2 linked regions of the Ovis aries genome follow. The protein of the gene in region 1 interacts with the protein of each later gene in a biochemical or structural test. Links are inferred from orthologs where the notes say so. Each region holds a gene or a part of one and is shown on either strand. Other genes may lie near its edges.

What was found.
Region 2: the proteins of MAP1LC3C (region 1) and KBTBD7 form a complex in vitro, tested with the Homo sapiens proteins (2 studies listed by BioGRID and IntAct, with this or other methods). The link is inferred for Ovis aries from reciprocal best matches to the Homo sapiens genes MAP1LC3C and KBTBD7.

What each region holds. Positions count from the first base shown.
Region 1 is NC_056065.1:34,210,538-34,213,768, forward strand, and holds the end of MAP1LC3C (microtubule-associated proteins 1A/1B light chain 3C), read right to left. Parts: intron 1,214-3,231; coding exon 988-1,213; 3' UTR 501-987; downstream 1-500.
Region 2 is NC_056063.1:11,789,708-11,793,772, forward strand, and holds the start of KBTBD7 (kelch repeat and BTB domain-containing protein 7), read right to left. Parts: upstream 2,801-4,065; 5' UTR 2,521-2,800; coding exon 478-2,520; 3' UTR 1-477. UniProt on the Homo sapiens protein: As part of the CUL3(KBTBD6/7) E3 ubiquitin ligase complex functions as a substrate adapter for the RAC1 guanine exchange factor (GEF) TIAM1, mediating its 'Lys-48' ubiquitination and proteasomal degradation.

The DNA of each region.
Region 1 (3,231 bases):
TTTCCTCAGTGTTTGCTGGCCCTTATCCCCTGGGTATGGGATATAATTGGTGTTGTGGTGATCCAAGCCTTCCCTGGATATTGGCTGGGGCCTTCTCATGGCTCTGTGGGTTGTCACAGCCCTGTCAGGGGCAGGGTCTGCTCCCTAGATCCACTTCTAAGCTGCAGTGTGAGGTGGGCAGAATGGGCAGGCACCTGCTGTTAAAGAAGCCACTGAGTATTCCTCTGCAGGAGGTGTCCACCAAGAAGTATGCTCTCTGTTGTCACCCATCATCCTTTGTGTGCACTCACAAAATACACTGTTGTTGGCACTGTGTTCAGCCGTGGGCATGCTGGCAATCAGCTCAGATGCTCCAAAGAAATGGCACTCACAAACTTCTATTGTAAGGAAAACTAATCACTTAAATTATTTGAAACTGAGCAGTCACCACTTCGGCATAACTTTGTGAGGGGCACAGACAGACTAAAAGAATATAAGGGGAAACAACCAAGTCAAGTGAATGCTGTGCAAATAACAATAATCTCTTTAATGACATAGATAAGGCCACTTCCCCTCTGCAGTCATTCCACCCGCCACCCTCACCGCCCCCAAATGAGGCAGTTCACAATGGCTGCACCGGGCTCCATGGAGACCATCCACAGGTCACAGGATCTCCATGCCCAAGCATACTCAGGACTCCTGCCCACCAAGGCAGATCACATACCTCCAGGGCCTCCAGCTTGGCCTCCATCACAGGAAACACTTAAAATACCTCCCCAGCTCACTGAGCAAGTTAACTACTTCTTTCTCAGAAAAGACTGACTATTTCCAAAATTTTCAAGAGCCACCAAAGAGGGTGAGCACAAAAAAGGAAACACGGCAGGTCTTGCCTCATTGTCATGGTTGGTGCTTATCACTGCAGGGGGTTTGCCCCCGGATCATCACTGCACACACACAAAGCAGTCCGTACCTCCTGCACTGGTGAACGCATTGGTTACAGCACACGTGCTAGAGAGGATGGCAGGGCCTGTCCTCCCCAAGGCTGCTCCCATCCTCAGGGGCTGCTGATCCCAAGCAGCCAAACATCTCCTGGGAGGCATAGGTCATGTAGACAAAGCCATCCTCGTCCTTGTAGTCCCTGTAGATCTCTGCCATGGTCACATTCATACTTCCCAGGCTCTTGTTGTTCACCAGCAAGTAAAAGGCTTCAGTGGCCCCTAGGACCATGCGGCTCCTGGGTTGGGGAAGAGGGTGTGCAGGAGACAGGAAGGGAAAAAGTTAACCCGGAAGCGAAAGTTAACCCAGAAGCAAAAGTTAATCCAGAAGAGAATGATCGCTGACCCACAGCTTTGCTTACTTTTATTTGGCCAGTGTAAGCCCATCTACCCAAGATGCCCCCACCTCCCTACTCCAGGGCTGTTACCCTCAAACTTTAGAATTACCTAGGAGAGTCCTGTTGCAAGTGGACTCCATCCTACAGGTTTTGGTTTAGTAGATCTTGGAAGCAGCCCAGGAATCTGTGGGACTGTGAAGCAGGCAGAACTTGCCCTGAAACGTTACTCTAGAAGCACAGGCAGTCTAACTTCCACTCCTGCTGCTGCGCGGAGTCTTTCAAAGTGTCATTTATATCTATTTGCTTGCTTATACTAGTGACTGCTAAAATAGGAATTTATATCTGGTCATTACTTTTTTTTGAAAATTTTTATTTCTTTATTTTTGTCTATGCTGAGTTTTTGTTACTGCATGTGGGCTTTCTCCAGTTGTGGCAAGCAGGGGCTTCTCTCTAGTTGCTATTCCTGGGCTTCTCACTAGGGTGAATTCTCTTGTTGTGGAGCACTGGCTCTAGGGCACTAAGGCTCCAGCAGCTAGGTTGCACAGGCTTAGTTGTCCCAGTGCATGTGGGATCTTAGTTCCCAGATGAGGGGTCAAACCTGTGGCCCCTGCATGGGCATGCAGATTATTAATTACGGACCTCAAGGAAAGTGAAAAGTCACTACCTAACTTTTTAATATACAGCTTCAGTCTTTGTTCCATTTCATTCCCTAATAACAGATAAACTAAGGCACAGAAGCTAAAGAATCTGATGGAAGCAACTCAAGTGTCCATCAACACATGAATAAACAAAACGTGGTCCATCTATAAATGGAGTATTAATCACCCTTTAAAAAGGAAGGAAATTCTGACAAGTAAATGCTACAATATGGATGAATTTTAAGGACAGTATGTCCAGTGAAATAAGTCAGTCACAAAAGGATACCATATGATCCCACTTACATGAGGTACCTAGCATAGTCAAATTCATAGAGATAGAAGGTATGCTGGTTTCCAGGGATTAGGGGAAGGAGAGGATGGGAAAATCAGTCTTTAATGGGGACAGAGTTTTCCTTTGGGAAGATGAGATGGATACTGGTAATGGTTGCACAACAATGTGAATGTATTTAAAGCCATGATCTGATTGCTTAAAAATGATTAAAATAATATTTTATCACAATCAAAAATATAATAATAAAAGAAATCGAAGAATCTGCCTATCATAGCTCTCTGTCTCTCTCTAGTAAATAAGATAAATTTATTAAAAACTGGCTAAAAGATTGTTCATTTTTCTGGCGATTTGAAATATCTTCAAACTCATAGATAAGCTCAGACTGTGAGACCATCCCATTAAAAACTAGAAAAAAATATTCTTAGCTCAAAAATGCTAAGTAAATATGCCTCAGTTTGCTATGAATTTCAAGTTAAGAATTTCCTGAGTGGTGCAAAGAAAACACATAATGCTGTGTATTTTGGCATGTCAGTTAAGCAGCTTTGGGTGTGACATTTGGAAAAGGTTGTTGTTGTTATTTGCTAAATTGTGTCCTACTCTTTGCAACCCCATGGATTATAGCTCACAGGTTCCTGTGTCCATGGGGATTCTCCAGGCAAGAATACTGGAGTGGGTTGCCATTTCCTCCCCCAGGGGAACTTCTGGACCCAGAGATTGAACCCGCATCTTCTGCATTGGCAGGCATAGTCTTTACCACTGAGCAATCTGGGCAGGGATTGAACCCGGGTCTCCTGCATTGCAGGCAGTCTTTACCATCTGAGCCACCAGGGAAGCCCATTTGTAAAAGCATTACTATGCAAAAGTATAAATCCCTCCCCTTGGGTTGTGGATGCAGAGGAGCAGCCATGTTTGGCTAGATTCATAGGAGTTCTGAATTGTTTTTATAGCAGAGCAAGATGAATCTGTTGGCAATGGCTCGCCCTGTCTGA
Region 2 (4,065 bases), on another chromosome or scaffold:
TTTCATTATTCAGAAGATAGAAATCTTCAAAACCCTGCCAACAATTTCTAGTCCAATTTTCTACACAAAAATGAAAAAGCTAACTTCCCCCCCACAACACTAAACAGAATTTAAAAATGAACAGAAGACTAAATTAGATAATCAAAATATAAACCGTGTAATTAATGAAAACAATTCACTAGTGCAACAAATTCTTGAACACAGAAAAAAAACCAGCAAGCATTCTAATCAATTACATGGTTCATTTTTTGGGGGGGGGGAGGCATATTTTAATCTCAACTTTCAGCACAGTAAATTATATAGCTGATTTCATGGACTGTTTACATTTTATAACATTACATTAGCAACTCAAACATTACCCTTTCTAAACCAAATATGCAATCCTAATCAAAGTTTTCTTTTTTCCCCAGAAAAAGGAAAGGACATCTTTTTAAGATATATTCATAGCAATAGAAACATCTTAGTATTTCAAAATATTTACAAAGAACCCTGCTGATCCTGTGCATTTCGCTGAGGGGCTACCTGTACCCAGACTTCATCATCAGAAAAAGAACTTGAACTTCCTGACTCAGAGTCCAGTTCACTGAACCCATCTAAGTCCCATTCAGTACTAGACTCACTCCGTGCATCATCTTCCTCAGTGATGAAACTCTGACCAGGTTCAAGGCAGGAAGGATAAACCCGAGCACAGAGACAAATAAAGCCAGAGTCAAACTGCAGAAGACCTAACATGGTCCCTATATTAATCCACTGGTCTTCCCTTGTATCATATTCATACACAGTTACCCGGTTTTTTTTCCACTGAGGGGTTGTAGAAGTGATGAGGAGCAACTTTTGGCCATGATTGACAATCTGGTAGTTGTGGGTCTCCGAGTCCAGGGGAATATTGCTAATACGCCTCCATTCTCCCCGGGCTGGGTTATACACCTTCATGACTGGGATGTCACAGATGCAGTAGATCTCATCATTGAAGACACAGGCTTCCTGAAAGTCACTCCGTTTAAGAGAAGCACAGTTCAGCCACATATTATGGCTAGGATCATAGCAGAGCATGCGCTTACTATTCACAGCATAAAGATAGTTCTGAACCACTATGAGTTCAAAGGAATAGAAGGAATGTGGTACAGGAGCCACTAAGGCCCACTGGTTCCTCTGAACACTGTAGCACTCCACTTCCTTTAACTTCACTCCAGTAATGGGGTCACGCCCACCCAGGATGTAGATGTAGCCATTGAGGTATGCCACGTCCATGCCCTCCCGGCAGAGCAGGCGGTCGGCAAGTTGCTGCCAACTATTCTGGGCTGGTTTATACACCCAGAGATCCTTCCTGGGCTGGGCAGCTAGATAGATGTCATGGTCTGGAGAGACACAGACAGCTGAAGAGGTGACAGTCTTAGTGTGAGCCAAACTGGTCAAAGGTGATGGCATTGTGTAAATGTCCCCCGAGTATGGATCATAGCACAGAAAGGGATCTCTGGGATGGCCAAAGAAGATGACCATCTCCTTGGCACACATACCCAGCCTCTGGGGTGGATTTTCTGCTATGGACACAACAGAGCTACTGCTGCTGCTCTCTGGCTTGGGCACCAGGGACTTGCACAACATGTCACCATATCGCATCTGCAGGGCCCCTTCAACAAGGTCCAGACAGTACTTCTTTACAATGGGCTTGGTCAGCAGCTCTTCCACGTAGCCCCGATCTTCGTCAGTGAAGTGGGTCCAGCGGACACACTTGAAGACTTCTGCAGCGCTGGGACCCCGCTCCTTGGGAGCCGCCTCCAACCACTGCACCGCCACGTGACACACGGTCCGCTCACTCTCGATGTCTAGACTGTCCAGGCGCAGGACAGCTAGCAGCTGGGCCAGGGTCAGATCTGCCAGCGACTCTTCCCGAATCGAACCCATTCGGCTGAGCTGCTTGAAGTTGTGGGCTATAAAGGACTGGGCCTGTGATCGCAGCTTGTGATGGTCGAAGGCGTCGGCGAACTTGAGGATGGCCGTGCAGTTGGCCAGGTCAAGGCGGCGGGCTAGGAAGGAGGCACAGGCTTCCCGCACGTACTCCAGCTGCAGCATGTCGGAGGCCGCGTAAAGGCGCTGCACGTTGGCCTCACTTAATGACACGCGACCGGTGTAGCAGTAATCGACCAGCACCTCGAAGGACTCGGCGTCCACGTCGTGCATGGTCACGTTCGTCTGATGGCTCTCGTACATGCCGCCGGTGAACATGCTCTTGAAGTAGGGACACGCGGCCGCCAGCACGTTACGGTTGCAGGAAAAAAGGCGGCCCGTGCCAGGCCCGCTGCCGGGGGTGACCACCTCGATGGTCACATCACAGAGCAGCCGCGCGTCGTAGAAAGACTTGAGCTGGGCCAGCAGGGCTGCAGAATGGCCCGTGTCCTTCAGCTCCTCCGGGCCCGTGAAAAAAGCCGAAACTGAGGGCTTGGAAATCCTCTTGGGACGCCTCCCGCCGCGGGGACTGGCGAGGCGGCGAGAGCGCGGAGCTTCTTCCCGGGACTGCATGGTGAAGAGGGCGGCGGGGAGAGAAGGACGAGAACCGGGCTCTGGCGCCTCCTCGCTCTCTTTTCGCTGACGCCGAGACCGCTGTGTCCCTGAAAAGACTGCCGCGCTGACTTAAGTCAGCCCCGCTCCGCGGTGCCGCCTCCCTTTATCGCGTAGACAGTGCCTGACTCACCCGGTTCCAGTTCCACGCCCTTTCTCCGCCTCAGCTCGCCCTCACAGGACCTACAAACTGGAACCAAGCGGTCCGCCACCGCCGCGCTGGCAATACCGGTAGGTGCCTAGGAGAACTACAGCTCCCAGGTTGCCTTTCGCGCCTCGAGGCATGCCGGGACCCCGCGGACTCTGCGGCTTAGGCCGCCTCACAGGAGCCGCTGTGCATGTTGGGATCAGTAGTTCCAGTAATATCGCGAGGCTTCTGGGGGTCTACTGCTTTAACTAACAGAATCAGCAAGCGTTTATTCCAGATTTGATGGTTTAGAGCTGTGGGTTTGAAGTCTAGAGTGGAAGTCCCGTTTTAATATTCACCAGTTGTGTAAATTTTTTGTCAGAACTTTTCCCTGTCTGGAAATTGGGCATAATAGTATTTCATAGGATTCTGGGAGAATGGAATGATCTAAATTTCATAGGACATAGGATGCTTCAATAAATACTTGTTGATTAGATTAATAATTGTTTACACTGTGACTAAAATGCAAATATTGAGTAACTGTTGGCTTTTCATTTAGAATTTATGAAAAATGAGGCATCCACTTATTCGAAACCATGAGCAATTTCTACAAAGAAAACTGTGTTTACTGTTGCTTCTTGTAAGGCTCGGAGAACCGCGCTCTGAAAGGAACATTCAGGGACAGCCTCTAGTGGACTGACAAAGTTGATTATCCAGCTGCGCAGTTTTATAATTCTCAGGGAATAGAGCATAAGGCAGACTTGCACGTAGCCATTCCAGATAAACATTAAAGCATTCAAGCATAAAATACAGTTCCCACCACCTAAGACATAACGTGACTTTGGCAAAACTCTAAAGGGAGTCTTATCGTGAAACAACAGTCCTTGCTCCCAGGAAACAGGTGGTCATAAGGAAGCCTTTGAACGCTTCAAGGCCGGGCGTACTGACCCTTCGTCATCCGTTTCCAGCCTCAGGCACTCGATGCACGCTCATAACCCTCCGTTATGCTCGTTCCAGCTCCCAACCTTCGTCATAAGTGGAGCAAATACATTTTCCATGTCTGCTCAAAGCCTTCCAGCTCCTCCTTATCTCCTCCCTTTTTCCTTAAGAGCAAGGACTGCTGCAGCCACAGTTACTCCTGTTTTTTGGACGGAGGTGACTCGGGCACATAACGTTCGGAATCCTACAAGAACAATAACAAACAATAAACAGATCAGCGCATAAGTAGCCATCGTATGGGGTACCCAATTTTTTGGATTTAGAAAGGAGGTACTAGTGGATAGTGCATTATAGAAGTCAGTGTTCTATAACACAGGGGGAATGCTGCTGAAGGTAGATGTGATTTGTTGCTTCAATTTTTCTATATCTAGACTGTTTGA